Linked DNA regions of Oreochromis niloticus. The protein of the gene in region 1 interacts with the protein of each later gene in a pairwise test. Links are inferred from orthologs where the notes say so. Each region holds a gene or a part of one and is shown in the gene's direction. Other genes may lie near its edges. The genes, in order: srrm4 and zrsr2.

Region 1 (16,459 bases):
GGTGTTCTAAATCTTTTGACTGGTAGTGTATATTATCTGTGTATTGTCTATAATGTGTATGAATATCTGTGTGCCCTTCCAACCTAACAGTACCCCCAGTTCATAACTTGAAAGCTGTATTGCTGGCAATTCAAAGAAGTGCAGTGTTGAGTTTCAAGTAGACAGTATGAGCAGAAACTTAAAAAAAAACATCAGTGACTACATTACTATTGGGATGCCTTATCAATGTAATTTATGTTATTGATTATGCCAGTGGTGCATCGCAGAAATGGCCCTGTCCTGTCGAGGCATTGATTTTCCCTGACAACAAACTAAATGGTGGATGGAATGGCATTTATTTAGCGCCATTCTAGTCTTATTGACCACTCAGTGCACTTTTACAATACAAGCCACATTCATACACCTATTCATACAGTTTTCTATGCACATAGCACTTTGTATTATATATCAAACATTTACACACTCATACCTCCCAAGCCACAGATGCCCCAGCTGCTCCTAAGAAAAGAAAAGAAAAGAAAAAACCCAACATGCCCACAATCATCTAAATTGTGAAAGTACTTTACACAGAAACCCAGCAACGCGGTGCTCTGTAAGGACTGCAGATTGGAACTGGCTTATCACACCGCTACTAGTGATTTTTTTTGAGCACTTGAAGTGAAAGCATCCCAGAGCACTTTGTCAAGACTGCATCAGCACAAAGACAGCTTTGGCACGGTTCAGCATACGGCTCTCTGGCTCACATGAAGAAACAGTCACGGGCACGGTTCAATTGGACTCTGTCACATTTCAGGTCTGGTGTGATTGCTAACTGTGCCCAAGAACAGAAATGAAGCACTTCCTGCAGCCCAGCTGCCTCTGTGCTGCACAACTGCTGCAATAAATATTTGACAAGTCTATCAGGCATGTGAAATGGCCATGTTTCACTTACTAAAACAACACCAAAACACACAGGTAAAGGGTAAATAGAATCATGAATTCTATTGTGCTGTGCAAAAAACAGTCATATCATGATAAGAGAGAGAAAGAGATTAAGACTAGTTGATTTGGTGTTTAACACTGCGGTGATGTAGTTTGATTTTTGATGATTAGGTGATTTAATACATTAACATAATATTAATAAGGCCGGTTTTGATCATTATTTTGTGTTGATGGTCATATTAATTGAGAAATACAAATATCTGAAGGTTAACTGACTAATCCAGACAATGTTTGGTTATTAGTAAATGGTCAATGATATTGATCAGAGGTAAAATAATGCTGAATAGACTCTACAATAGTTCAAACAGAAGAACTGCTCATTAAATTTTATTTTTTGTTTGCAAAAAACCTTTAGGTTTCGAAGCATTCCCCTTTTCTGCAGTGCATAATAGAAATGTCTACACCAAGAGTGAAAGAGCTTTGGCCAGTTTCACAGCAGGGCCTCTCGGAGTAGCAGAAAGTCTCACTCAGCAAATGAACATCCGACATATGGCAATGCCTTCCACCTTCTCTTAATTGCCAAGTGTATTTATAGATAAAGGACTCAGCCTTCAGGGGCTGGAGGGCAGCACTGCAAGTTGAATAAAGCAACAATTGCATCAACTGGATCTTTGCCGTCTGGCTTTTTTGTGAATAGCTTGTGTAAACAGAGGGGAGAAAACAAAACACCAAAAGCGTTATTCACTGACACCTCAGTAATTTAGTTTTTATAGTTTGTTATTAGTAGCTCAAAAAGAACACGAGGAGAAAAATCCAGCAAACTTCTGTTAAAGCAAATGCTACATTTTTAAAAAGTGGAATTTTTACCTTATAAAGACACAGCTTATTTTCTCCTTTTGTGCCAAAAGTCCTTAAATTCTGGGTGAGCCTCACAACATGACTGCTGTCCTCTCCAATGCAGCTTATGAGGTGACCCTTAGCTCATCTTTAGGGGCTCTGCGTAATATTTCACGGCCCAGCGTGACACTTACCACAGATGAGCGCCATTCTGTATCCTCTGGGCCCAGGCAAAGCAGATCTGCTATGTCGTCCTCAAAGCCTGCAGTTTGTTTGCCCTGATGGAGACTGCTGATTTAATTTGCCAAGATGGTGTCCTCTTACCCTTGCCCCATGCAGCTGGATCTTTCTTTCGCGCAGCCATCCCTGACCGCCTATTCACCTGCCTTGCTTGATTACACTGTGCTGAAAATGAAATAGGAAATATGAAATATTCTAGAGTCTGCATGTTAGTTGTGTAATGAGCCTGGGCAGTACAAGCAGTTGGCTATTATCCTTGGTTTTATTCCTCTGTTTTATTACTATGGGATGAAAAGTCACATCTGAGTTATATCATAAAAATTGCATGTTTTCATATAAACACACTTCACCTGACATAGCATGGATTTTAAAAGAGCAATTTCAAATTAAGGTTTCTGATTATCTTTTAGTTTTGTCACTGAATGTTTACCTCTTTCACTGTCTCGTGTATTTTGGTCTCCCTCTGTTGGTCTATGTCACCCTTCAGCCTCACACCCCTTCATGTGCCCTCTGCTCGCCTTCAGCTTCTCTCCTGACTACTCCTCGCTTCAAACTTAACATCATGAGGGTGGCAGAGCCTTGTGCTGTGCTCCACCTTGTCTTTGGAACTCATGACCACTAAACCTTGGTCAGATCAACACAGTTCAAATCAAAGCTTAAACTATTTGCATATCCGCTATAACCATCCTGTTTAAGATATTCTATATTTTTTACATTCGTATTATTATTTTGTGTTCTAAGGTGGCGTCAACAAAAAATACAAATAGAATTATTATTATTTGTATTATGTGTGCTTTTTATATTTCAGTCATAGGTATTTCCTGTTTTATTTTGGTAAAATTTTTTGCTTGTGCTACATTTGCTATTTTACTTCCATTTCTCCTTCACCACTTTATGACTGCTTTCCAAACACTAATTAGTTTAATCAGTGTCTTACTGTTAGATTATTGTGTATTGATGGCCCTTTTTGATCTTTCTGTTTTTACACTTTACTTAATTGTAAACCTACCTGTGCTCGTTTCTCCTCTGCAGTGTCTTTCTCCCACAGTCTCCTACTGTTTTTCTCTCTATATGCATTTGAATATTTGCCTTTTGCTCTGAAGTTGCATCATTTTTGGAAGTCCTGTTGTTTTCTGCTGCTGTCACTGCAACACTTTAAAGTTTGTCCATGAAACACAGTGATAGGCTGATGGTTCATCCAATCACTTGGCAAGTGCAATTTTAAAACTCCGCTCACTTTTCAAAACAGTTTCCAAGGACAAACTTTTTGAGTGTACTCACATCCAAAGAGCTTCAACATTCACTGTGGTTAACAGTTTGGGCCAAAGTACACTTCAGTTTCTCTCTGCATCTCAACTCCCCTGTCCTTTCAAGCGCTCGCATGCCTTTGAAAAGAGCTTGTGTAGAGCACAATGAGGTTCATGATTTTATACATTTTGCAACTTAATTGTTTTACTCTCACACGCCTCAGTGTTCATCGAGGCAGCTGTAGGTGAGGAAGCCTTGTAGTTACATGCTTGGGTGTGAACTACTATGGTATTTGGAGCAGGCTGGGGCTTCCTCCTTTTCCACCAATTTGATACTGTTATCAAAATACTTTTTGTCAGGAGTTTCAGGAGTAAAGTGTCAGGAGTAAATTAAGAGACTAAAAAAAACTAAAAATGATGTGAATTTAATGAATAATAATGAATTGGTACTTTCCAAAATTTAGAAAAACAGCAAGCAATAAAGAGCACGTGACAAGTTCTGCAGGTTGAAAAAACATTGTGTCTGTAGGACCAACAGCATATATCTGACATAATAAGGTAATCGTGTTTTACATATCTTTTTGGGGTTACATCTGAGTAAAATGAACTTGCTCAGTACACTTTAACAATTATTAATATGTGTAGCTTATCTAGCACATCAAAATCTAAGACATAAGGTTAATTAAAATATATAATATCTAAAGCCAGTAATTTTTTTTCACATCTTCAATCAAGGAAGGCCATGGTACACTTAACCTTCACAGTAACACAGTGGCTCTCAAAATTTTTCTGGCCCCATTTTAGAAGCCGAATAAAAAGGCCCATGCACAATTTTTAATCTTTCAGTAACAATAAAAAATGATCTATGATGAATTTTATTAGAATAAAGGTGCCAATTATCACACAACAGTATCGGCAAACTACTAGTGTGGAATGAGAGTCCTGAAAGCTGTCATCACTGCCAGTGATTATAGAGTGTTTGGGTTTGGGTGAGGGGTTATGGAGGCAACAGCTTGGTGGAAAAAGCTTTTCCTCAGAGTGTTTGTGTGGGATGCCATAGGTCTGTATCTCTTGCCTGATGAAAACAGTTCAAATAGAAGGTGAAAGGGTGTGAGGTGTGTGAAATGATGTCGTCTTCATTAGATTATTGGTGTAGAGATCCTCTAGGTGTGGGAGCTGCAAGCCTACTACACACATCGTGGATTCTTAAACAAGGTGTAGATCCTTCAGGTCCTTCAGGTGGTCCTGTAAAAGTTCAGCAGCAGTTTCTGGCAGAACTGTGCTTGCTTCAACTTCCTTAGGAAGAACAGTCTTTGTTGGACTTTTTCAACCAGGCTGTTCTTCACCTGGTTGTCCCCTCCCCACCTGCAGTGGCTGCACTGTGAACCTGATCCCCACATTGAAACCACTGCACCAATGTTAAACGCTATCGCTGTGCAACAGCCCTTGTAAGTTGTCAGGCTGCCCGTGTTCAAACTTCCATCTACAACTATAATGCTTTTTTTAATATAAGTTCAGAAAGATGTTACAAACGAGTTATTGGGTGTGCACACTTAATAAAACTTTATATGATGTCTATGGTAAAGATTTTTTTTTATAATAACCAAAGATGAATACATATAATACAATTCTTTTGATTTCTATTTGTTAAATTTAATGAATCTTTCAGTTACTATCCCTTTAGCAATTGGTAGGTTTCCCAGTTGTATTTTCACTGGATTATTTATTCATTTAGTTTTAGTTTAGACCAATGAATGTTCAATTTACTTTTAATAACAAACCCTGTTCTGACATACCTCATACTTCCCATATACTTCCCTGCGACCATTTTAACCTAGCAACTGCCAACACTTGCCAACCATTAAGGGAATGCACATTTTTCCCTAGTGACTGGTAGTTGCCAGTAGGTTTCTAACATGCCTCTAGGTCTGTGTGACTAAAACCAAATCTAATTAAAGCAGTGACAGTAAATGAAAAATGCAATACAGTAATGTCTCCTCAAAACTTTTTTTAAGTAGGCTTCTCTGTTCTGAATGCTGTGGTGACAGCCCATCCCCAGATAATACCAGTACTTGATTTCTCTTGAAGTAATGTGGAGGTGTGCATGCTGAAAGTGAAGATGGAGAAAACAATACAGTGAAAAGAAAATATGGCGAGGCTTTGAAAGAAAAGGTGAATCTTTGCTTCTGTTTTTTTTTTTCAATTTATGCAGAAGTGCCACAAAAAGAAAGCTTGATTGTTATTGATAAAGAAAAAGTAATGTTACATTTGCGAACAATTTGTCATGCCTGTTTCTTTTTGACTTAAAAAAAGATGAATTCATCTATTCTAACAACTGCAATTACTGTCAGCTTGAAATCTGAAAACCATTCAGCCTGACCAATAAGTTTTCAAGTATTCCCTCGGATTCTTTTGAAAAACTCAAATAATATGTGCTTCACTTTGAGTGGATTCACTTTTTGTTTAGCTCCGGTTGTGTATCAACTAACCCAGAAAATTACAGAGGACTGTTCAGCTGCCTTTTTTAATAGGCTTAAAGAGATGACAAAAAGCTAGATGTTGTTGACAAGCTAGATGCAAAGAAAAGCTAAATAATTGTAATTATTTCATTTTTTGATGCTATGTTGATGGTTGAGCATAAATTCATTAAGCACAGTATTGTACAAAGTCTCTTAGATGTATGTGATGTCATGTAACATTTGAAAATCAATTATTGTCACTTCATTCCTTTACAACATCAAGGCTAAAGGATGAAATTATTGTCTTTCCACAAATTAATGACTTTTTCTGCAACGGCTTAGTGTCCTTCAGCTGAGCTTTTTATATAAAACCACTGCTAGCAAAAGCACTTCATAAAAACACTCTGCAGGAGGAAACCCAACCTTCTGCCCTCAGCACAGCCCTCCAATATAACCTTAACATCATCTTACGGCAGAAACAGCTGTTTGATATTCCCGACCATAAATGAAACATATTCTATGTTTTGCTGTACCTGCTCGTCTATGCCCTCTGGTTTGATTTGAGAGTACCTCTGCTCCATCGTTATGCAAAGCACACTGATGAAGCAGCCACTTATCATTAAGTGTCTGACGTTGTTATACATCAAGGTTTTGTGTTATCAGCTAATATATGCATTATTAATCCAGACGAGGTACAGCACCGTGTCTTTGTGCATACGTATTAGGAGGCATTGATATTAATTCCCACCTATGCCTACAACTCTTGATCAGAGAAAAGATAGGTTCACACGACAATGTAGTCAGCACAGCGAGACAAAGCTTGTGTTTATGACATCTTGTTCACAGCTCAGAGCGAAACATCTTGTTAGAGGCAAGCAGAGCAGATTAATTTGGAATCTGGAATCAGCTGTGTGAATGGATTTGACACCTAGATTTTCAAGTGTAGTGGTATCCAAACACAAGAGTAAATGGATTTTTAGTGAACTATTGAGACTCTAAAATGCAAAGTTAACTTTGGACAATTAAGGCCTGTCTGCAAAGAAACACTACCAAATTCTTTATATTATAAATATAAAATCTTCCACAGTAAAGTTCAAAAGGGAACACAAAAGGGCTATTTTTCTGTATTTATTTCAGTTTTGTCATGTGTCATGGAACAAGAACTGTACAATTTATTTACAATTTGCGTATTTACAACCACTTATTCATTTTAGGATGTTTGGAGCCTATCCCACCTGTCATAACAGGGAGAGATCAGTAGGATGGCAGTCTCTCAATTCAATTCAATTCAGTTTTATAGCACCAAATCACAACAACAGTCGCCTCAAGGTGCTTTATTATTGTAAGGTAGACCCTACAATAATACATACAGAGAAAAACCCAACAATCATATGCCCCCATATGAGCAAGCACTTTTAACAGGAAGAAACCTCCGGCAGAACCAGGCTCAGGGAGGGGCAGCTCACATGGCTAATGCAGAGAGATGGACAACCATACACACTCACATTCACACCCAAACGAAATTTAGAATCACCAGTTAACCTAACATGCATGTCTTTGGACTGGAAGAGGAAACTAGAGTACCCAAAGTGACCCCACACAGAGGGAACACACAAAAAAGCCCCAGATTGCCAGCAGGTTCAAACCAGGACCCTCTTGCTTACCACTATACAACCCCATCAGTCCTTGTCTAATGCGCTCAAATGAAACATCTTAGTAATGTTGTAAACACCATCTTAAATTCCTTGGAAATATATATACTGCTACAAAATATTTCAAAATATTGAGGGAAAAAAGCATAGTAATAAAAGTTAAATTTGTGTATGAGTGAGCTTTGCTCTATCACATTACAGCCTGCAAGCAATTCCAAAAGTCTATAAATAGGATATATCCTTTAAAGTATTACACTGAGTTTTCTGTTGTAGCATAAACAGGGTGGCATCCCTGTAGTAGTCTGTAATCCCCTCGAAGATTTCCAGAGTCCTCAGCAATGGCAACCAGCAGATGATATGCGGCATTAGAGACAGAGTGAAGAAGAGAAGAGAGAGAAAAAAGAAGGGAGAGCTGGGGAGGGGGTTGTTGAGTTGTGCCTCTGTGCTCTGTGTCGTGTAGAAGTAGACTAAAGAGGAGAGAAGGAGGTAAGTGACGGTAGGGAAAAAGCTTAAACCCCCGAGGGGAAGTTTGTGTCAGCCACATGCTCCGGCTGGTCCTCACTGAGCCAGGCCTTTTATTATGTTGATTTACTCGGCCTTTTGTCCAAGATACTGACGAGACAATCGTCTGTGTGTGTGTGTGTGTCTGTGTGTGTGTCGCATGAAGGAAGAGGATAAGAAAGACAGACTTACACTGTTTGCAACATAATAAAGACTAGTAGACATATCAGTAATTACATATTCAAAATACAAAAGATTATAGAAACACAACCTACAAAGCTTGATACAAGCTGTTGGTTCAGCTGTTGAGAAGCCTATGAGCAGGTTGATAAAGATTTAAAGACATTTTTTTTACTCTTGGGTCAGTATGATGTCACTGAGAGTGAATATCCCTTATATAGTTATCTCTGGGACAGAGCTCTTGCTGTAAGCACATCAAAAACCACCACTTGCTGTTCAGTTTTTACAAAGAGAAGCCAAGCAAAACAACTTTAGCTTAAAAAAAGAAAGAAGAGAGCCCAAGATGGCTGTGGCTTCGGAGGTATAGTGGATCTTCCATCAGAAAAACGTTTGATGGCTTGATCCTTGAAGTCTTTTTGGCCAAGATAATCCCTAATTGCACATGGGGATTGTGAGAGTGTGGGACAAAAAGTACTTAAATGCATAGAACAAAAGTGTAGTGGCTTTTGGTAAAAAGTGCTTTGAGTGCTCAGTTAGAACAGAAAAGTGTTCTATATATATTTATATCAGTCCATTTGCCATTTACCAAATGCTGACAGTGGGTAAACTCAGGCGCTACAGCAAGGCTCAGTATAAAATACGTTAGGATTATTTGTAAAGTTACTCTGGTGGAGTCCAAGACTAAAACTATACTAACTGAGCGTAATAGGTCCTCTTTAATTATTTAGGAACAATTTTGGATTCATTTTCTGTTTATGATCTAACTGATTAGTTCTTGTAGGTTTAAAACCCTTCAAAATGTATATAATAGAAGGCACAGGGAAAAGGAAGAAAATATGGAGGGAAGGCAGAGAGGGAAGAAGAAATCCAAGCAGAGAGACAGAAAGATTAAAAGAACCAGAGAGAGAGAGAAAAATGTTCCCAGTATATCTGAGGATGAAAAGTGAATCTAATCAAGGCTTTAGAAGAGTGAGACTACCACAGCGAGGGAGTGAGGGAGGATGACGGAGGATGTCCCCTTTACTCAGTGTCCAGCCCCCAATTTTGACGTCACATGCTGAGAGACACAAAACAACCCACTCTCAGCTGAGCTTCTCACTCGATTTTCACTCACACACTCTGGCATACCCACTCTCCAACTTACAGATACGCCTGCCCTCAGACACGCTGCAACACTTGCCTCGACACCCGCTCAACCCTCAGCCTGTGTGCGTGGGCGCACAATTATCTCTACACTAAAACGCTGCACTCCAGCAGCAAGAAAAGCACAAGGTCTCTCACTTCTCACGACTGAAGCATGCTCCATCTATTGTCAAGGAATGCCTAATTTTGTGTGAAGCTGCCGAAAGGGACAAAAAGGAGCGCTTTGGCTTCCAAACCCGACCCAGACCCCATCCCAAAGAGCAGCAGATGTGACAGAAGAGGCGGAGAGAGAAACACAATCTCCCTTACCCCTCCTCATCTGGGAGAACAATACCCGGTCTCTAGTTGGAGAGGGTCAGCTTTTGTCCTTCTCCGCACGCTCCCGCTCAAGAGTGAAGAGCAGACAGACGCGCTGACACATTGACCTGCTGCTGCGAGAAGACGGAGCAAAGCAGCTGCTGCACTTTGCTCGGTTTGATTCAGTACTTGGACAGTTCCTGAGCAACAACCGGTATCGTGCGTGCGCGCGTTTGTATGAGAGTGAAGGGAGACTGTCGGCTGAGTGACTGAAGGTGATTCAGTTTGGAGCGCAAGAAGCAGAAATGCAGCCCCCACGTTCACTCCAGCTTGGTCCCTGTGGCGCCTCTCTGTCCCTGGGATCACAGGGAAGCACTACCACCTTCCAGCTGGAAGAGAAGCAGCTCTTTGAGAAGTTTTGGAAAGGGACTTTCAAGGCTGTGGCCACCCCAAGACCAGAGAGTGTCATTGTGGCTAGCATCACCGCCAGTAGGAGAGTGACTGAGTGAGTATCTACAGTTTACAGTATTTACTTCAGCAGCTTACGTGGATGCTTGCTCAAACTTCTCATTTTTCTTTAAACCTAAACTTTGCAAGCACATGGTAGTGGAGCTATTGCTGATATAGTTGATACACACTTTCCTTTAATTTTATATACATACAAGAAGTGCCAGTTCATACAGTTTCCTCTAGAAAAGCATGCCTTAAAAATATAAAAGTCAAAGACATTTAATTAATCACCTCGCACCTGGATTAATTTTTGTTGTAAGGATACAGATAAATGTGTAATATAGAGAGCTGAAAAAGCTGTGTAATCAATATGTGTGCAAAATTACACCTGCCAAGACATTTTTTTTGATCCGTACATCAGCAAATCAGCGAATACAGGGGTCGTGTAAGAGCCTAGCTCAAACATGTCTTTGTTATTGATTTATCACCCAGCAGCCATCTGGATGATCTTTCTCCACTAATGTATGCAGCCACATGTGACACGCAGCCAAACACAGCTGGCCTGAAGAGTTTGATGTTCAATTATCTGACCCCTTTAAAGGTCACGTGACTGCACTTTTTGTGCTTTTAATGTCAGACTTGTCCTTTTGTCCCCCTGTGACATGGCGCTGTGCCAGAGCCTCCGTTGAAGGAGCAACATGTTAGACATTTTCTTCCCCCTTTTCATCCCTTCGACCAAAGGTTAGCTGTAGCACTTAAAGCCTTTAGGGGAGGATGAATGTCTGATGCCCTTTTCCTGCATATCTCTGCTCCCTTTTTTTCCCCCATCCTTGCTCCTGTCTGCACGATCAACCATCATCTGCTAGCTTTGACAGTTTTATCCATGTTATCAGGCACTGTTCTGTCTGCTTTGCCTATTTCTCAAATGTATCAGAGGAGGTTACCCTGCTGCAACTGAAACGGCACATACAAATGGAATAAATGTTCAAACATACATACTTCTTACACAGTCACACACACACACAGAGCCACGGGCACATGGATATACTTATCTGTCAAATGGTGTAGCTTGCTTGGGTGACCTTTGAATGGTTTTGACACCCACTATCAACTTTCTCTTATGTGAAATTAGCTATGTTAATGAGGATTAGAATGGCCCATTTCATCCTACATTGGCACAGGCAAGCGAAAGACACAGTGAACCAAATAATGTGTCCTTAATGGCTTCTATTACAGCAGGACCGTAATACTGCATATGGCTTGGTTATAAAAGATTTTATTGGCCTGTAGGATATGGATAAAAAAGACTTTTTATTATAAGAAAGTGATCAAATATGCATTTGTTCCACTGTGCCCCAGCTCCGCAATCTAACCAAATAATTGTAGCCACAATTTTTCTGTCAGTCAACCATAGCCTGGCGCAGATGACAGATTCAAGTCTATTTGGGGAACCTGGCAAAATAAATTAGAAGCAAACTGAATGGACTCTGATTAAAAAAAAAGAAAGAAAGAAATGTATTGTGGCTGGCTGCCGTGAACTGAGCAGCCTTTTTGAAATAGCTGGAGACTCTGGAGCGGGGCCCAGCTGTCTATTCAACTTTAGCTTCACTAGGAAAGAAGCTTTCCTCAAGTGGCTCTGCCCCTCCACGGGCTCCGTCGGGGTGACAGTGATGATGATGGCGGCATGGCAGGGGCAGGCGAGAGCAAATGTCCCCACAGAGAAGAAGACATAATGTTGCTAATTCGCCTGGGTCTATTTGTGAAAGACAACGGCAGCGCCCCTGTTGTCCAGAGTTTGTCTCTCGCCCTGTCTCTGTGTATGTTTACAGTTTGGCTTGGGTGATACAGATTGTAAATAATGAGAAAAACAAAACAAACAAATGCAACACCCAGAGACTATGGATGCAGGACATCCTAGCTCCCTTCCTACCGCACTGTTGATTTTGCCCAGGCACAGGGTGACTGGGGAATGCTTAGACCATCAGAATGCATTGCCTTAGGCTTGCTCCTCTGCCTCTTTCTCTCCAAGAGGAGACATTATTATTCACTGTGGATAACTGAGGGGTGATGAACAATTGCAGTGAGTGCGAGAGGGCATTATGTACAACAAGCAGAGATGGAAAGAAGAGAAGAGACTGAGGGAGAGCCACAGGGTGATGCTTCATGTTCAATCGGCACGAGTCTGTCTGTTTGTGGCATCCTCGGCTTTCCTCTCCGTTCGCCTCCTTCTCTCTCACTCTCTCCCGTAACTCCTGAAATAAAATGCTGGAGGAGCCAGATAGCCACAGAGGAGTAATTAGAGTCCGCTGTTGTCCCTCTGTCCTCCCTGTATCCTCTTCTTCAGGCCAGTCACACAGAAGAGGGGAGGAGTTCACCAGCTCTATGCAGTGGGGTAGGGTTTGTCTCAAAACCATTATGACCCTGCAAGCTGTGTTGCTCGTGGGGGCTTCTCATTAAAAATGCAGCATGCCTAACTTAATGTTGTATAGCGTGTGACCACGAGTGTGTGTATACGTGTGCGTTCATGTGTGTCTGTGCAGTTTTTTTCAGCGTTTGTGAGGATTTGAAATAAGGCTGTAAGCTCGTAATGCGTGTGTATGTGTGTGCGTGTGGCTGCCATATTAGTGGGGTCTTGTCCAACTCTGTGGCAGATGGCAAGCTTGAGAGACTGCAAAGAAAGGGAGGGGGTGAAGTGTGAGTATGTGTGGGTGTGTGTGTATGCGTGTGTGGTAGGGGGTTTCAGGCCTCTTACCTCAGCAGATGCTGGTTTAACGAGAAAGGGAGAGAAAGGGTGTTTGGAGGGGCTTGTACTCTGACAGCACCGGTGGGAACGTACAGCAGGACGGACAAAATAACAGGAACACCTTTAAACAGAATGCAATGCAAGCTAACTGCAGCCTCAAAACTTTAGTTTAAGTTTGAATACAACAATTCTTCTGCTTCTTTAATGTGTTTTTGTTTTGTTTTGTTTTTATTATGCCATTAATAATGGGGTTGGGTGCGGTCTGAAATCTACATCTAAGGCTGAAACAGTAGTTTCTGAGTGACAGAAAAACAGTAGCATTTACATATCCTTGGGTTTTGACCTCTCAGATTGGTCATGACACAACCATACCACGAATTTAAGAAGCTGGAAAACACATAAAATAGAAAATATGTCATTGCTGGACAGTTTTATTCATAGCTGGACTGGCCATCGGGCATACCGGGCATTTGCCCGGTGGGCCGATGGTGATTTTCGTTTTTATGGGCCAATGGGGTTTTTTTTGGGGGGGGGGTGTTTCATAACGGTATAAACACTGAAAGGTGGTGGATTGGCCAGATGCTGGGAGATGTGTAAAAATAACTCAGTTGCTTGGTGGTGGCTATTGCGGAGCTTCCACAGATTGAGCAACATTAGCAAGTGGTGGAGGCCAGCAGGTGCAACACGCTGGCAGGTGGATGACGGAAAGGTGAGGCAGGAGGAGGAGAGACCCGAGGCGGCCGCTGGTGTTGGTCCGAGTATCAGGTGAACTGAACTTCAGGTGAGAACTTATGACCTGCAGTCTATCTGGGTCAGATATAAACCAAGTTTAGGTGTAGTTTATTTTCGTTATGCTGACTTTTTTACAGTCAGTTACAATAACTCGTACGTGTACTAGCTAGCATGACGGAGTTTATATACTGCTGGGCGGGTGCTATGATGTTACCGATGTTGAAATTTATTTTATTCATAAGGTTAGTTAGTTTCCAACCGTCCAGGAAAAAACGGAATCGTCTGGTATTCAGAGTCAATATTTGTGTTGAGCTGAAAAGGAACGCGATTTGTCCCGTACTTCAGCTAGAATGAAAAAGACACAAAGCTGGATTTATTCTGTGTCTTTATGCTGCAGCTGTTTCTTCTTCTCTCATTCTCTCTTCCTCTCTCCCCTGTTGTTATTTCAATCATGAAACTGATCAATGATCAGCTGATCGTCTCTCTTGTTTGTTTATCGCCCACTTTGTGCCAGAAAGAGGAAACCAGCGGATGTCGCGCTAAACAACAGCAGCACGTTTAAGCTTGATCAGCTGTTGTTAGAATTTATTTAATATTAATTTCTAGTATCAGCTGATGTTTGCTGGAGCCACAGCTGTAAAAGCTGCTGGTCATGATATCGGTTTGTATATCTGGTGAGAGGGAAACATGAAGATGAAACCAGGAGATGTCCTTAATGAATCATCAGAGCTGAACAGGTGATGGAGAAACAGGTTTACCTTTTAGGTGACATGAATGAGTTGAAGGGAAGTTATGAACTGTTTCTGAGAGACAAATAACACCAGGATCCTTTTTTATGTTGCTGACAGCTGGTAACTGTGCAGGGGCGGGTCTAGCAAAGTTTTGCCAGGGGGCCAGGCAGGGCATTAACAGGGAAAGGGGGGCACAAAGAAATACTTTTCTTTCTTATTCTCATTTAAAATGTCTATTTTTTAATAAATAATTATCTGAATCTTACAACAAACTTTTTCATCTGATCTAAAATGTATAGAAATCCATTATTGTACATAGTAATTTTTTTTCAGGGTCCCATCATAATTTCTTCAGAAATAAGTACTGTATATGATGCCAGTATTTTCCCAGATTCTGTACCAGTACTGTGTGTAAAATGCCATCAAAAAGTCAATTAAGTTTTATTCTTTCTCACCTGTCTTTCCTTTCACTTTTTAAAGGTTGCCATGTTAGAAAAAATATTTTACCCTGCCATGCTGTTTATTGATGTGGTAAATGAATAGTTCATGAAAATATATCTAAATCTGTCATTTATTATTTTTAATATTCAGTAATGATCATGTCTCACCTCTAGTCCTCTCTGTCTTAATTTCAGGTTTCCACCATGTGTTGTATATAGTTCAGGAGGTTAACTTGACCAAGCAGTCTTTGGGTTTCGGCTAAGTACTGTTTAGAATACCAGAATAGGGAGGATGGTGTAGTTTATTAGATTGATACATATATACCAACAGGACAGTGTACATCACTGTGACAACAGAGTTTGTTTTCATTCAAAAGCTTTATGGTTTTTCCTATAATACCTGGTGGGCCGGTCTCTAGTCAAAATGCCCAGGCCGATTTTTTTTGTCCCAGTCCAGCCCTGGTTTTATTACACTTAAGACTTAAATGTAATACAAATCCTTAAACAAAATGCACATTTTCTCATTGTGAATAGGTTGCATTTCCAGATTTGGTGAAATATGCCATATGGAAAAGAAATAGTAAAAACTTATAAAAGACTTGCATAAGATGTGGCCTACTTCATATAGTGAATCATATAAGGCTTATATGATTTACTCATGAAAGTGGCCACTTTCATACATTGTTTTAGTAAGTATCCAAAAGATACAAGTTTCATTTATATAATTTTTCAAGGGATCTTGTATCTGTTTTCACTCTTGTATGCTTTTCATACAAGTTTCACACAAGACAGATACAAACTTTATAAGATTTATATATATCTTTTCCATATGGGATGATAAGTCTACCTCTGCCATTGTGTGGACTGCAATTTAACTGCAAAACGAAAAGCTGGTCTGTGGCTGGATATGATCAAACTCACTGCAGTTTACAAACTTATATGCTTGTAATTCCAGCACTGTAATTTCTTGCACACCGGATTGATACAGGCATATTTACAACATAATAAATGATATTCGCTCAGCAGATTCACTGGTTTAGTTCACATGCAGAGTTAAAGTATGTGGGCTCGTTCTGTTGTCTGTAATAAAGGGACAGTTTGGGTTATAATTATACTGTTTGTCATTGTTTTCTCTTCAAAATTATTTTGATTAAGTGGCGGTTTGTTCATAGCTTGTGATTGTCTGACGGCTTGTAGCCTCTCAGAGTTTTTGATGTTTGCGTGTCCACCTCCTGGGTTTTGGAATTGCACAATTTGCTAAACAAAATGTCTTAGATTTAAATTGCTATGGCAGCCACCTCAGAAATAGAATGCTTACAGCATCCACACCCATTTAAGCAAATACAGGAATAATAATGCTCAGAGAGTGGGCATAAATAAATACAGGATATACTGTAGAGTCTGGAAAACATCAAGGAGTAGCAGTCACAGCTCCCCTTGGGACGAAACATCACTCTCTTTCTTCTTCTCTCTGCGAGAATGACAAACATGATTTAGTGACGGACGAGGGGTTTGTCTGCCGTTGTACATCTCTGTCTGTTCTTCCGCTCTCCTCATTGCAGAGTATCTTTACCCGACTTGTCTCCCTCTCCTCGCATCAGTATCTCTGTCCTTGCCTCTCCTAGTATCTTTTCAGTGTGTGTTAACTCGGCCTCTCTGTGTCTGTGTCATATTACTCAGAGCGCAGGATGCGGCTGCTGAAGCATGCTGACAAGAGAGCGGGAGATGATGCCAGCTCCCCAGGCAGGAATCGGACTTATCACCAAAATGGATTCCCATTTGATACTGACTCCAAAATCCATTTGAACCAATCTACCTTCTGCAGCTTCACACTTGATGCACTATTCCAGCGCGTTTTTCGCCTCTTTTTACGTCATGGGCTGAGT
Region 2 (16,426 bases), on another chromosome or scaffold:
CATTTGTAATACTTGTTCTATATGCATGGTAACAGTGTTGCAAATCGGTGCTACGATTAGTGTTTTCCCAGTTGACCGCTGGGTGTCAGTTTCTCTTCGTTAAACAAACAAACAAACAAACCCCCTTTTTTTCGCAGATGGTAAAATATATATTTTTGTTAAGCACAATGAACCAGCCCGAGAAAATACATCTTAATTTTTTATTTTTTTAAATATTTTTTTTTTTATATAAAGTTGTGGCGTCCCTGTCCTATTTTGTTATTTTGTAAAAAATTTAGTATTTTTCACGGACTATCACTTAAATTCATTTGCACAGCCCCTATATATATTATTTTACTATTCCCTCCAGCTTAGTATTTGGATGTATAGAATAATATGAATGAATGAAAAAATCGCCACTTCCATCAAATCAGAGATAAAAGAGAGCAAAAAATGGTTTCAGAAAGAAGAAGAAGAGAAAGACACGAGAATTGTTAATTTACGACATTAAGATCTGATGAAAGACTTTCTTTTGACGTTTCTTCTCCAGGTGAGGGCCCGCCTCCACCATCTGAAAGCTGAAGCTCCTTTGGCTACAGTGCATGTGTAGGTAAACAGAGAAAGAGAGCGAGAGGAGAGCAGACAGACAGACCAGACAAGATTGAGCATGCACGCAGGGGCTGAGCTCAAAGTTTTTTTTTCGGCAACACTCTGACTTTCCTCCCATCCAAGCAAAGCATGAACATTTTCTGCGGCTCATTCATTTAAAAATTTCAGTTCTCGCTCAGACAAATCGCTCATAGTCGGTGCGCAATGAGCGCGTCTGTGGGAACGGGAGTGTTCCTGCTCTCCCTGATGTCTATCCCCATCTGCTATTTATTCAATTCTCTCATTTACAGCAACAGGTACGTGGAATCTGGTTCACATATTTTAAATGTTGGACTTCCGGCTTACACCACCAGTAGCGAGGAGTAACTGCACTAATCTGAGAATGATTTATCATGTGTTTTTTTAAAGATGTTCTCTATTTCATGCAGTGCTGAAGCTTTCTTCTTCGCTTGGTGCACAACAGTTCTTATTCTGGCCATTTCAGCTCGTTTTATACTTAAAAAGAAGGCTCCAGTAGATCCACTTTTCTATGGTAGGATTTCTCAAATGCAAGTTCTCTTGTTTTGACCAACAGTGAGCGAGCACCATTACAGATCAAAGCTCGAGCTGCGACTCATATTCTGCATGTTGCACATATAAAAACCTGTTGCAGTATTTAAAAAGCTGTGATATTCAAAGCAGCATGTAATGTTTGCAAGTTATCTTGTCTTTAATTAGAAATTAATGTATCAAATATGTATCTGTGAAGTGTATGCAGTGCATGCATTCCTCAGTGTGGTGAATCTGATCATTGGACTGGAGCAAGACAACATCATTGATGGATTTGTGACATTTTACCTCAAAGAGGCAAGTGTTGCTTTGTTGCGTCCAGATTATGAATGCCCCCACTTCCTCACAGTTTGACTGATAAATCTACACCGTGTTTCAGGCAGATCCACATATCAACACAGCACATGGGCACATGATATCCTACTGGGATGGCTGCGTGCACTATCTCATGTATCTGCTCATGATTGCTGCAATAACTTGGGGGTAAGTCCTGTATTGTTTCCAAGGTTATTCACCACAGCTGCATCACTAAGTAAGGAAAATATTTGCCACTTAATCCAATCCATATTATACTGCTTGATAAGATAAGCTTGATAATGTATTTATATACCTAATTCTTTGAAACTACAATATGATCATCTGGCTTTGTTACATGGTTTGGGCAGGGACAATTACAGAGCTATTGGACTCTACTGGGTAGGATCTTTTCTCATGCGTGCAATGGTCTACATTCTTGGGAATGCTGTGGGTAAGTACACTAAAAATAATGGGATGCTTTTAGATGGCTTGTGTAGGGTAGCCCACATCACCCTACCCACCCACACATACACACCCACACACACACACACACACACACAAAACTTTCAGATCCCGTTTGCTTACAGGGATTTAAACTAGATCATATCTGCTTCTGTTCCCACATGGAATTAATGGGCTCCCCCCCCCCCTCATTTTTTCCCAGGGAAGTATGGGACCCACGTTGGCCCTCTCTTCGTCCTCCATATGTTGTACATCTCAATGTCGGTGTGGGCTTGCTTCCGGATCTTTAGTCAGCCTTCTACACGGGACGTTGAGTTAACAGTAAGAACCTGACCGCCGCCCCTCTCAGAGAGAAAACACCTACTTTTATTGTCTGTGGTGTCTGTGAGATGATTCTGATGAGTAATTACCACCACAGAAACAGTGCAAGAAAAATGTATGGGCACATTTCTCAGAATCAGAATCATACTTTTATTGTCATCGACACCAAATGACACATTCATCAAAAGTGTTTGCAAGTTCCTATGTTCACAATATTCCATCGTTCCCGTGAGTAATAATTCAAAGCCATGCTTTATTTAATGCTGTAATGAATGAGGGGTAAAAACTGTCTGTTTTATTGTTCATATTTCTGAACAGTATGGCATGTATAATCATCAGATTTGTATATTTTTAAACTGGAAGAGCCTTTCTTGGTAAAGTACAATATGTTATTACTGTGTTTTGTTTTATATCATTGAGGTGAATTTTTTCTTCAGCAAAGACTGATGCGTTTTGAGCTGATAAGTCGCTTTACATAAAGAACTGAGGGATAAAGACATAAAATAAAGTAAAGGAAGTGTTTGTCATCATGCTTTTAGTTGAGCTACAGAGCATTGTTATGTGGTTATGTCAACAACAATTACAGTACAGTACATTATAAGTTAGGCAACTATGTCTGTGATAGTGGATATATCTAAACATAACTGATGCCCATTTATTGGTGACATTTCTTTCTGAAACTGCAATACTTACAGTAGCCTCTGTAAAATAACTGCGATCTACCTTATATACACAGAAACATCCAGTAAGGGTTAAAGTGTCTTATCTGCTGGAAACACATCCATACTTTGCATCTGCAAATGTTGTGTTCTCAGGACATCGAGGAGGCTCAGAGGGCAGGCTTGCGCCGCAGACCTGTGGACTTGGTATTCATCATCTACCTCATTCCAGCGCTGGCTTTCTGTGTGTTCAGAGGCCTGGTAAGAAAAAGGGGATCGGCTTGCCCAGCATGCACACAACTGTAGATTACTTTCTTAGCGTTGGGTGTCTCTCACATATCAAACTGTTATGTTATGTGTTCGAGGTTGTTCTTGACTGTTCCAGCAAATGGTGCCAAGACTACACACAACAGTATGAGCCATACCTCAAAGACCCTTCAGCCTACCCTAAAGTACAGGTAATACGGTGCAGTAAACGCACCAAAAACGTCACTCTAATGCTGTAATATTAAGCCACACATCTAAAGCAGTAAACTGTGTCACTGTTTGTCAGATGCTGGTGAGCATGCTGTATTCTGGGCCCTACTACATCATTACTCTGTATGGGCTGTTGGTCCCAGGATGTGACTGGATGCCAGACCTGACTCTTGTACACTCGGGAGCATTGGCACAGGTACTGTTGATCACTGTATACACCGAGGGGTCCCAGGTATGATTTACATTAGACGCCTAACATCTCTAACTTGTTCTGAATATCTGGAAACCAAATGAGTAAGTGATGAAAGAGTTTCCAGGCTTTAAAAACGAAGGTCAACTCTGTGAAAGAGTCGTTTGCAGTCTTTTGTTTTCCCACATGACATCATAGTTCCAGGTAGATTATGTAACGTTACACAGAGACTGAGAGCCGGCTCCTGGCCAGTTCGGTAAACTTTCTCCTCTGTAGTGATTGCAAGTTGGTCTTTGTTTAGCGTACTCTTCAGAGCTGACAGACACCAGTGGCTCTATTTACATCTAAAGATGGAAAGTGAAGAGTTGTGGGAGTGGCTATGGCGCTGATCTCATCTCCACTGCACAATGCAGCCATTGTGTTTGAGCTGCAGGCTGGCACGTCACTCATCGGCAGGATAAGGGCAGAAGCTGACTTCAGACCAAGAGGAATGGTGGTATTGGTGGTATTCACTTAAATGTCAGCTGTTCAGCCAGGATATAAATAGGAAGGTTGATCCTCTGGCAGCCTTGGTTGCTATGAAACATGTCATGTGTCAGCAGCTTTCTATGAAAAGGTAAATGACAGAAGTGTATTAGATTGAAAATCATATGAGGATCAGTGGTGGTGCCAGAATGCAGGCATCGTCAGTCCAGTAAAGGAATAATTCACTCTAAAACAGCTGTTACTTTGTTTTTGCCTGTTTCAAATGGGTTTCCTGTGTAAGCCCTTATTGGTCTGTTATTGTAGATAGATCATTGCATCCAGCAAGAATATGTGGGCTTCAGCATCACAGGATTTCCTATAAGATTTATGACTTTGGAATGGTGTTTAATTTACTGATACATGATAATAAGACAGTAATGTGCCCAGATGGTCTCACTATACCAGATAACTGGGGTTATGTGGGACTTGATACATTTAAAATAAAGGAAACAATAATTGTGGGAAAGCATTTTTTTATGTAGGTTGATTCTAACAGGAAAAACAAAACAACAACTAAAAACCTGTGCTAACCACAGTTATGTTAGTTTTTTTTATTTTCTAATCTGTTTTGATTTTTTTGTATTCAGTTTAGTTTCAGTTAGGATGTTTTCGCTATATTCTTATTTTATTTTTGTTAGTTTTCCAAGTTCACAAAGCAATTTCAGTTAGTTTTATTTTTTTATTTATTTTTTATTTCAGTTAACTAACATGTTTTTCCATATCTACCTTTAGTTTTAGTTTAGTTTTATTTAACTATATTAACCTTGGTGTTGACATCTAAGTCTATTCATTTTTAGACTTAGATGTTAACTACTTCCAGTAGTTAAATTACAAAAAAAGGGGGAAAAAAGACAATCATAAGCTCAAAATGTTCTTAAATATGTACAAAATATTTAAGATCAAGATACACTGTATGGACAAAAGTATTGGGCAGCACCTTTTAGTCACTGAATTCAGGTGTTTCGTTCAGTAATGGGCTGTGCAGCCACTCTTTATAAACATTTGTGTAAGAATGGGTCCTTCTAAACAGCTCACTGAATTTGAGTGTGCTGCTGTAATAGGATGCCACCACTGAGGCAAGTCAGTGTCTGAAATTTCTTCCCTCCTAAATGTTTCAGCATCAGCTGTAAGTGTTTTTTTTTTTTTTTTTGCAAAGTAGAAAGTTTGCGAACCACAGGAGCTCAGCTAACCAGTGCCAGTTACAGCCTATCTGATGCCTCAGCAGGGTCAGAGCACTGAGGCACATAGTGGATAAACGTCACCAACACTCTGCTGATTGATTAACTGCAGTTAAAAACCTCCTCTGTCATTAACATCAGTATGAAAATTGTCTGAGCAGCTGCATCCCAGCGTCAGATAGTGTTGTAAAGTACTCTGTCACTGGACTCTGGAGCAGTGGAGACACAGAGGAACTGAATACAATAGCTACTTTATTGTCATTCAGAACACACACACTCACCAGTTAGTGTACAGTAAAAAAAAATTTTGGTGCACTCACTCGCCACTGGACAAAAATATAAAATATAAAAAAGAATCTAAGATGGAAGAATATAAAAAAAATGGCTATATACGTATAATAGTAAAAGAAAAACTGTACAGGATCTTAGATGAATAAACATATTGTGCTGCTCTGAGTTTTAGAAGGTACCTTTTGCATCTATGGGTTGCTTTGGGATATTGAAAGTTCAATAGTGTGATGTTCTGTGGAGTGATGACCAAAAGCGTCATCTGCCTGACTGCACTGGGCCAACTGCGGAGTTTGGTGGAGGAGGGATAATGCTTTGGGGCTTGTGTTTCTGGCCTGTACACTTTACTTCCAGTGGAGGGGACTCTTAAAGCTTCAGCTTACAAAGACATTTTTGACTATTAACAGTTTAGGGAAAGGCCTTTTTCTTTCCCAACATCTCTGTGCACCATGCCATAAAGCAAGGCCCATGAAGGTTTGGTCAGATGAGTAGAGTGGAAGAACTTGACTTGACACAGCCCTGACCTTAACCCCATTTACCACCTTTGGGATCAACTAGAATGGAGGTTGTGAGCCGACCTCTGTCGTCCATCATCAGTGTCAGGCCTTGCAAATGCTCTTCTGGGTGAAAGGGCATATATTTCCAAAGGCACCGTTCAAAATCTTGTAGAAAGCCAGAAGAGTGGAAGCTATAGCTGCAAACAGGGACCAACTCCATTGTAATGCGTATGAATTTACAGTGGGATGTCAAACAAGCTCCTGCAGATGTAATATATAGGTGACTTAACATTTTTGTCCATGTAGTGTGTATATAAGAATCTTGGTGAACATACCAGCTGTGAAGCACATGCTTATTATCCCTCTCTGCTGCGTTTCACAGGCCCAGTTCTCCCACATCGGTGCATCTCTTCACACACGGACACCGTTTTCATACAGAGTACCTGTTGACAGCCAGCCTGTCTTCTTGCTGGTCAATGTGTTGTACATGCTGGTGCCTCAGGCTCTGTGCTACCGCTGCTGCACACAGCCTGCCTTCTTCCTCAGGACAGCGCCAGAGAAGAAAAATGAATGACAGACTGTCGGGGGGGACAGAGAGAGTGCCACAGATGCCACAGATGCCTAAAATAAAGAACTTGCAAATTCCTGCTGTGTTTGCAGTTATTAGCGGCTGCTATTTTAGAGAGGAAACTGCCACCTGTAAACTTCATGGGGCTATGTGGAGGTGCTAGAAATGAAGAAAAATGGAAATTGTGCCATCTACTGTTTTTGATCTGCTGCTTTTTATTGAAAATCTCTGTGTGTAAAGCAGCAGCATCCACATAAGGCACACACAATGTTACACTGCAGGCAATGGTGCGTTAGAGTTGTGTAACAGATTCATATGACTCACAAAAATCATTGTTTGGTATAAAAACAAAACTGTCGTTTGTTGCTGAGATTTCTGCGCAGTGCCTTCTGTGTCTGTGCCTTTCACAGCATTTATCAGCAAATAGCAATTTTTTTAAATTTCTTTTAACTTTTAGTTTTTTTTATTCAGTGTGGTTTCAGTCAGTTTGCAGAGTGGGTTCCCTTGATTCAGTTTAGTTTTAATTGTCTGAAAATGATTAGTTTAAGTTTAGTTTTTAGTAGTTTCCTTGTTAGTCTTAGGTTTTTTTTAATGACTTTTTAATTATTATTGTATGTCAGGGGCAAAATTTAGGAAAATCCTTACAGCTAATGCAATGAAATCTGTAACAAACTAGCAAATACCAAAATTAAGGATATTTTCTATTTATTTTTTTCTTTTCCAAGTTCACAAAATCATTTAATTTCATTTTTTTGGTCTAGTTTTTATTTTTATTGTAGTTAACTAAATTTTTTTTGGTTTGTTTTTTACATCTACTTCTAATTCATAATAATAACCTTGTTGAGAAATAAATAATTATTACCTCAAGAGGAAAGATTAGTGGACACTACCGAGCTTTACTTAGACTGTGCATCGTTTAAAAACACTTTACACTCTAGTGCCAGCAGAACATTTTAGTGTGTCTATAATATACAATGTAAATCATTTTTGCTCTAGGTTCAGTGATTTCACTGATTATATTCTCTAAAAGAAGGAGCTCACAAGCACTGTCTCCCTGCATTAAACAGCTACTTTTAGGCGCTCTCTAGCCCTCATACAATCCTGCATTCATCTTAATGGGATTAATTGTGATCAAGAAAAGCATAGCACTGAAATGAAATAATAGTTATGGAAAAAATAATAGCCCCTGTACTGCCATTGCACCACCTCTTTATTTCATCCGTTGCGTCTTTTATAACCCTCTTGTGTGCTATATGCTGTGTTATTATATTTGGCCTGTATTTTGTTATTTGTTAATCCAGATGCTCTATCAAATGATCTCTGATGATAGTTAATAAAGTTGTAGACAGACTTTTTTGCACACAGACTTTAGACTTTAAAATTTATATTACTGAATGTATAGCAGACCTTTTATTCCTTTTTAAAAATCTATTTTTTTAGTTTAAACCAGAGGGGAGTTTTGTTTTCAGTATTAAGTAAGAAGGGGGAGAAGTTGTGAGTGGAGAAAGTGGGGTTAGCCCCCAGTTCCACAGGATAGCCATAGCACCATGGTTTATTCTTAGACCAAAAACTAATTTAAGGATTTAGGAAAACAGAAGAGCAAAAGCTAATTCAGCATTTTCTAAGGTGGTAGAGGAGAGATGAAGACTCAGAAGCACAGTTAAGTTTAGATAACTGAATGAGGGGTTTTCTGTGCACACGGCAGAATTTATAGCTATGGTATGGGTGCTGCAGTGGGTGGAGGAGGTCAGGTTGTGGAAATTGCACATGTGAAGAGATGGAAACTGTTAAGCATGTTTTGATGAACTGCTCCAGCTATTTTATTGAGACAAATATTATGAACATTAAGACTTTTCCCCTAAAATCAGTAATCGATTTGAATCCTTAGGAATTTATAAAGTTTTTTATCTAAAGTTCTGCACCCAAATGGACTACACATAAGGATTTAATCCTTGATGTACATTTAGGAAGTACCTGAGGAGGGCAGCAATACGCCTGCGTTGCGTCCTGCCTGCCGGAAATCCACAAAGAAGAAGATAAAGAAGGCAAAACAGCTCCGCATGTAGCTAACATTTGCAATAAACATGTTTTTAGTTGTACCTCTAACCTGACAAATTATTCCACGTCAGAAATATTTCGTATAAGCAGAGAAGATTTTCTCTAATTTTTCTAATTACATGCTGGCGAGAACAAACAACGCGGGCAGAATTACACTGGGTAGCTAACGTTAGCCAAAGAAGCTAACCAGCTGGCTCCCGTTAGCTGCAATGGCAGCGTCCACTCCAGTGATTTCTGCTCCTGTATTAAGGTCTGTGTTTCTTTGTAGGTCTTTTGAACGTGTTTATTGGTCAAACTAATGATTTTGAGACACGTAGACAACTGTGGCATCTGCATGCCTTTAAAGTGTTGTTAAATAAACGCAATAATCGTACAAATTTAGCCTTAGGTTAGATACATTTTTATGAGTCTGGTGGTACTAAAGAAACCGATTTAAATGCCTGAGCCTTTTCTTTGCAGATAGTGAGATCTTTTAGTATTGGGAAAGGTAGAGGGTGGTGTAATATGGCTAACTTAAGCAATTGGCACATGAAGTCTGTCTTCTTCAGAAGCACCAGTGATGGGAAGAGTTCAGTGATCATTATGTTTGACAGGGCACAGGGTCTGCTGTGAACACCGACTTTTATTCTTTAAGGTGCACTCTCTTGCAAGAGCTGTGCAAGCCCCGGGATAACATGGCTTAGTCTCCCATCTACCTTTTGCTCCTCTTTTGTGATTATTGTTTTCAATCTCTTTCACTTCAGTCAGAAGCAACGCAAGGCTGCTCTGAGGAAAGAGAGGAGGAAACGGAAACGCCAAGCTCTCGCCCATGCCAGAGAACATGGTATGTGATAAATGTATAAGTCCAGGTTGTGTTGTTCTCATTTGTCTAGTTGCAGTTGTTAAGCAGATTCTCAACCACCTTTTCTCTGTTACAGATTTAAAAAATGGAGCAAGTCCTACTCCCGGAGAAGAAGACGAAGTAAATGAAGACGGTGAGGATGATGATGTTGCAGAGGAAGAAAGGTAGGGCCATACTGACACTGCTCTGAAGCTGCTCATTCATTGATACCGGCGCAGAACGTTTTGCTGCACATGCTGGATGTGTTTGATTTTGTGTTTATTTACCTTTAGACAGCATCTTCATGAAGAGTGGCTGGAAAGAGAGCGGATTGCCCAAGAGGAATTCAGGCTGCGGTTGGAGAAGGAGGAAACAGCAAGGAAAAGAAAAGAGGAGGAGGAGGTATAGGGATGGGAACTGACAGGAATTTAACGTTACTTATTCCATTATCAATATCAATTAGAGAATAAAATATAGTACAGATGTAGTTAAAAGTATATGAGAGAACCTCTGAGCCAGTCTTGCTTTGGCAGTCCTCGTCAACTAAATGTTAATACGAGATGGAGATTATTCATACATTATGGCGCTAACATTATTACAATCAACAGGACCTGAAGGAGTTTTACGTTGCTTGTGCTGTGCTGTCAGCTTCCCCTCGAGAGTCATCACCGTCGCTAAGCAGCGTATCAAAGACGTTACAGTCGTGCAAATGAACTGTGTGGTCAAATGTTTGAGCATGTTGGAGGCATTTCTCCCCTTTGTTATGATCAAAGCTTTGCACGTGTTGCAATTGTCTCTAGTGCCGTTTTTTTTGTGGGGGGGGGTTCCCATTCCTAACGAGGTAACTGACCACTACTGCCTCATAGTAAGCTTGTACAATTCAAGAAATGTAATAATTAAAGCCACGTTGACAGCACAGTTAGTTAACAGATGTTCTTGGTTCCTTACTGGTGTAGAGGTTAGATGATTCAGGAGTTTACAGCGAACAAACAACATGACTGTTTTATAATGACTTAGAGAGGATTAGAAAGATCATTATAAAAATACTCTGTGTTTTGTTTTCCTATTTTCAGCAGTTCCCATTGACCCACCAAAGCCTCAAAGAATGCGTTGTAATAAGAGCTATTTCCTGTTTAACAGAAGCCTGATCTTGCTTGTTTCATTCAGTGCATTATTCTGGTGAACATGAGCAGTTTAGTCTAGCTCAGTCCAGCGCACAGCATCCTGCTGCTGTAAATATTGACTGGATACCCCAACAGATCCATTGTTCTGTTTGAGTAATGGCTTTTAAAAACTGCAGTTCAGATCAGAATTTTACTGAGTATTTTTAATTATTTAAATTTAAAACCATATTATATTTCATTTCGCTTTTGTATGGGATAAAAACCCAGTACAGCTGACTGGATAAAGGCAGTCCAGGCATGATGGCCATACCAGCTTGATTTAAAAGAGCTGCGTTTGTGGTGAAATGTTTAAAAAAAAGAAGAAATTCATGGCACCAAAATGAATGGAAATGACAGCACAGTGGAATCAGTGGGAATGATTTGCAATAAAAATTCCAAATAACTGTCTTTATGTCTTTTTGTGTCTGTAGCGGATGATAAAGGAGGAATGGGAAGCGCAGCAGAGGCGAGAACAAGAAGAAAAAGAGCAGAAGCAGCAGGAGAAGCGAGACAGAGAGGTGATATGGGCTCCAGGAGGATAGAAACAAAAAAGACATATATATCCTCTTCTGCATAATCTTGAGGTTAAGCTAATGAACCAGTTTAATGTCTTACCCGCTGATTGTTTCTTTTGTAACATGTTTGTGCAACTTTTCCTTGACTGAACCATTTTACTCCTTAACTGAGATACACTCAAAGAGAAAAACCTCAGCTCTCACAACAAGGATGTATCTTTTATATTGTGTGAAAGCTATGAAATCGCTTCACTAGTGTTGAAAGGATACCTCCCATTAACAGCTTTTTTTGTGCCTCTCAGTCTCTGTGAATGTGGTCTTAACCCACAGAAAACAGATATGCTGCAGTTGTATTGACTTCTTCACATTTTCACCAGCCGTGTCTTTACACCATTTGTAGGAGGCTGTTCAGAAAATGTTGGATGAAGCTGAAAATCAGGTATTCACACACACAAACACAAGTAAAAATTGTCTGTCTTAGCCACAGACCCCCCCAAAGTATCATATGGTACATATATATGTCTTTTAATGGGACTTAACTTGAATCAGTTAAATAAAGTTCAGTTAAATGTCATACACTAACAGTGGAAATTCTCCCAAACCATCATGACTTCAGAAATAAACTTTCTGCACCCTGAAAATAAATGAGACACAGAATGATAGTAACTCATTTCCAGTATATAGTATTTTGTATATGTGTCTGCAGATTAATAATAATAATAATAATAATAATAATGATAATAACTTTATTTATAAAGCACCTTCAAGCAAAGTGCTGTACAACTGATGGCAATACAGATAAGAGACACAGTACAAGTTAAGAACAGAAATAAAAAGGAGAGATTAAGAACAAAATAAAAAGAAGAAAACATTTAAAACCTAAAAGCCATAGAGTTAAGACATGTAAGATAAGGTAAACAAGTCTTAGCAGTAAGACTTGTAGTTACTTCTCAGGAAATGGAAAATATATTTCTTTATAAAAAAAATTGCTTTTCTATCCAATCACCCGGGAGTGTGAACATTTTTTCTTTTCCTGTTTAACCGAATAGATTTGGAACAGACTTGGTTTAATGACAAAATATTATTTTAATATTGTTAAATGTTAGTATTTGTATTGGCAGTGTACAAATAAAAGCTTTAGGCCTTGTTTTTCAGCCTGCTCTTTACCCTTCAATGTTTTAAAACTTAGCCAGATACTTTCATTTGAGCCTACTGTTCATTTTGATGATTTTTGATGGGCTTTTCTGTCGCAGGTTGGCCTTAGATTTTACTCAAAGTGGTATTTAGAAGCTCTGAAGTTTTTAATTTCACTTGTTTATATCTAGAGACACATTTAAATTCTTTCAATTCAGTTTACTGTAACTAGTGTCACTGCACTTTGGTGTCATTGCAAACATCTCTAAATCTAATAAAAGACTGAAAACTAAGACAGTTTATATATTGCTCATGGCCTGTCTTACAGCTGGAAAATGGTGGCCCGTGGATGAACCCTGAGGCTCCTGTGACAGTGAGCTCTGAGAACTTTGGAACAGAGCGTGACGTAGCCAACTGTCCGTTCTTCCTCAAGACTGGAGCGTGTCGATTTGGAGACAGGTACTGATGGGTTTTGGTTTCTTCTGACTTGTTAATAATAATAATGATTATAATAATAATAATAATAATACATTTCTTTTTAGGTGTATTTCAAAACACTCAAGGTCACCTCACCCAGAAGAGTTAAGAACAATAAGAAAAAATCCTATAAAATCAAAAGCGAAGTTACAATAGTTTAAAGATCCTTGAGAACAGAGGATTTATGTGAGAAGTGGAAGGCAATCAGAGTGAATAAACTAGTTTAAAAAGGTGTGTTTTGAGATGCCACTGATATGCCCTTGAAAAGAAAGCGTCCTGGCAAGGATGACCCCCAGACTCTTGACCTGAGGCGAGGGAGAAACTAAGGAGTTGTCAACAGGGAATGAATAGCTGTTACGTTTAGACAGTGAGAAGAACCTCTGTTTTATCACTGTAATTTGAGAAGGTTGCAGTAGAACCAGGATTTAATTTCCTGGAGGCAAACACAGAGGGCAGTGAGTGGGAGGTGCTGGTAGTTTGGCATGTGGGTAGAGCTGGGTGTCATCAGGATAACAATGGAAACTGATTTATGGAAGATTTGACCAAGAGGAAGGAGATGATTTCAAAAGAAAAGGCGGCCCAGGACAGATACCTGGGAGACTCCAGTAATAACTGGAAATTGATGGAGTTGAATGAACAGAGTGCGGCTGGAGAGATAACATTTAAACCAGTTTAAGAGTGTGTCAGTGATTTCAATAGAAGCTAGTCTGTCAAGAAGAATGTTATTTTAGGTTAAATTACATGTTGACACTAAAGAGGCCTTTCCCCACATATTTGAATGTCTTCTCTCTATGAATCCAGATGTTCTCGGAAACATACGTATCCTACAACCAGTCCAACGCTGATGATCCGCGGAATGTTTAGAACATTCGGTATGGAAGAGTCGCGCCGTGATGACTATGACATCGATGCTTGTTTGGAGCACAGCGAGGAGGAGATGCAGGAGTCCTTCCTCGAGTTCTACCACGATGTTCTGCCAGAGTTCAAGAGTGTCGGCAAAGTGTTGCAGTTTAAGGTGAGATGACATCAAGAAGCTTTCCTACCGTCATCCTGTCTGTTGTAAAACAGACTCATAAAAACATTTATTTGATTTCACCTATTCCTCTCCTCTAATAGGTCAGCTGTAACTATGAACCACACCTGAGAGGAAACGTTTATGTTCAGTTTGACACGTAAGCAGTCACTCAGCCACTTCCCGTCTCTTTGCAATTGAAGTAACACTTCAGAGAAAACATATCATTCTTTGAATCGTTGTCTCTCCAGAGAGGAGCAATGCAAAGAGGCCTTCATCAAATTCAATGGGAGGTGGTATGCAGGCCGGCAGCTTCACTGTGAGATATCACCTGTTACACGGTGGAAGAATGCCATATGTGGTGAGCTACTTTTTCATGCTGACGACATGCACAGTTTCACTTGAAGACATTCCCACAGTGTTTAGCTTGTTTGTTTTTCTTCTCAGGATTGTTTGACAGACACAGGTGCCCTAAAGGGAAGCACTGCAACTTTCTGCATGTATTTCGAAACCCTGGGAATGAATTCTGGGAGGCTGACAGGGACCTGCACATGTCCCCTGACCGCAGCGTCAGGGGCAGTCACAGAGACGGGTGGTATTCGAGCCGATCATGGAGGCAGCGTCATTACAGCAGGAGCCCGGTGAGATCGGAGAGATCTGAAAGGAGACGAGACGAAGACAGGCGAAGGAGCAGGAGCAGAGAGAGGAGGCCGTCTCACCAGAACAGAGAGGACACACGGTCGTCCAGATCCAGACACAGTGACAGGTGGAAAGACAGGCGAAGGAGCAGGAGCAGAGGCAGGTCAAGGAGCAGGAGCAGAGGCAGGTCAAGGAGCAGGAGCAGAGGCAGGTCAAGGAGCAGGAGCAGAGACGACGAGCAAGACAGGCGGAGAAACAGAAGTAGAGACAGAGAGAAGGAACATAGAGGTAGAGATCAAGAGAGAGACGGTAGAGGCACGAATGACGACGCTCACATGGGAACGAGAGAAAAGTCGAGAAGTAGAGAAAGAAGCCCCAGGTCACCAGATAAAAGTAAGAAAAAGTGTAATGATGACAGCAGCACACATCGTCGCCACAAACACTCCAAAAAGAGCAAGAAGAAGAGCAAGAAGAAGCACAAGAAGAAAAGCCATTTGCCTGAAGAGACAGCTTCATCTGGAGAGTCAGAAAAAGAGGAGTCAGGGGAGGAGACGGTGGAAAATTTTTCAACATCAAGTCCTGGTGGAGAGAGAAATGAGATGGAGCGAACGCAGAAAAACAGTGACACAGATGATTGCTGACGGCAACAATGGCTTTAGTTCAGAGCTGGAAAGAGAATAGTCCGAGGAAATTTGAGGCGACCTCACTTAAAATATGCTTTTTTTTTTGTAGTGCACACATTTAAAAATCTACAAATCAGATTTTCTTAAAAATAACTTTTAGAAATTAGTGCACACTGCGATACATCTCTGCCTTACAGATTTGGATTTTATATGAATAAAAAGGGATACATTGCAGTTTGTGAGTCCTGAGATCACTGTATTCTGATGAGTTAATCCAGTTTAAAATGCAATGATTTTAATGTAGTCAACATTGGCACTTGTCAACACCTTTGTACATATGTGAATATTTTCAAAATGCTCATTGTGGCACTACATGTTGTTACGTAAAAATATAAAAACAAAGAAAACCCTTTGCTTTTTGAATACATTTATTTTTAATATCTTTCAAATATAAGAAAAATGTGTTGGCAGTGTTTAATACAAAAACTGATTTCTTTTGCACAAATCAAAGTTTAATAATACGAGTGTTCAATGACAACAGTTTTGATCTTGATAAGGAAAAAAAAGAAAAGAAAAAGACTTTCATACAGTTTGAGATGAGAAACTATAAGTTGTTTCCTTGCACATGACAATGATATACCTGATATCTGCAGTTCATGTTTTTACGTTCCCACTCCATGAAGAAAGTCATGATCGACATGTCTGGGTGGACTGGAATAATTCCATAATACTGGTTTAAAGTAGCCAAATAATTCCCACATCCAGTGACATCAACCTGCAGTTATAAATCCCTTTTTTCTGCTGTTTTAGCCTCCTATAGACACCACTGAGAAGGTAAAACACAGTGTTCTTTGGTCATATGTTAGTCTTTAAGAGTAAGCCAAAGCTATATAATACACAAAATAGTGGTTTTATTTGGGTCACTATCCTAACCTAATTCAGCACTAAGGGAGGAACTGGACCTAAGATATACTTTCAGAGGCTTCAGTGTTTTTTTTTTGTTTTTTTTTGTAAGGACAATAAGTCGATGGTCAAAAAGACTACAGAAATACAGTATAGCAAACGTGACACCAGTTACACAGAAACCACCCACATATAGCAAACAATTAGTCTGAAAATGTGAATATGAAATAATTCATTTGAAGAGAATCACACAAAGTAAACCTGTATTAAGCGTTAACACAGACACAATGATTATTAAATGTTTGATTTTAGTTATTGGGTTCAGTTTAGGCATGAATAAGTGATTGTAACAGTGTCTGTGGTTCCCTTAACAGCACTGGCCCCAGCTGGTGGCTTTCATGCATTACCATTACATATGAGCATGCAACATAGGAACACTGGTTGCTTGTTCACTCATTCAGTCCAACCCTTGTACCTGAACAT

The links.
Region 2: the proteins of srrm4 (region 1) and zrsr2 interact in binary tests that used the Homo sapiens proteins (3 or more experiments, as listed by UniProt). The link is inferred for Oreochromis niloticus from reciprocal best matches to the Homo sapiens genes SRRM4 and ZRSR2.

Annotation. Positions count from the first base shown.
Region 1 is NC_031977.2:30,368,788-30,385,246, forward strand, and holds the start of srrm4 (serine/arginine repetitive matrix protein 4), read left to right. Parts: upstream 1-9,120; 5' UTR 9,121-9,782; coding exon 9,783-9,982; intron 9,983-16,459. UniProt on the Homo sapiens protein: Splicing factor specifically required for neural cell differentiation.
Region 2 is NC_031965.2:13,769,116-13,785,541, forward strand, and holds the start of zrsr2 (U2 small nuclear ribonucleoprotein auxiliary factor 35 kDa subunit-related protein 2), read left to right. Parts: upstream 1-8,594; 5' UTR 8,595-8,866; coding exon 8,867-8,907; intron 8,908-9,400; coding exon 9,401-9,480; intron 9,481-9,574; coding exon 9,575-9,662; intron 9,663-9,770; coding exon 9,771-9,879; intron 9,880-11,071; coding exon 11,072-11,158; intron 11,159-11,555; coding exon 11,556-11,594; intron 11,595-12,617; coding exon 12,618-12,748; intron 12,749-13,567; coding exon 13,568-13,781; intron 13,782-13,882; coding exon 13,883-13,938; intron 13,939-14,029; coding exon 14,030-14,139; intron 14,140-14,225; coding exon 14,226-15,058; 3' UTR 15,059-16,426. Other genes in the region: transmembrane 6 superfamily member 1, read left to right, coding at 793-884, 1,017-1,120, 1,337-1,434, 1,517-1,620, 1,803-1,885, 2,099-2,217, 3,033-3,137, 3,242-3,334 and 2 more. UniProt on the Homo sapiens protein: Pre-mRNA-binding protein required for splicing of both U2- and U12-type introns. Selectively interacts with the 3'-splice site of U2- and U12-type pre-mRNAs and promotes different steps in U2 and U12 intron splicing.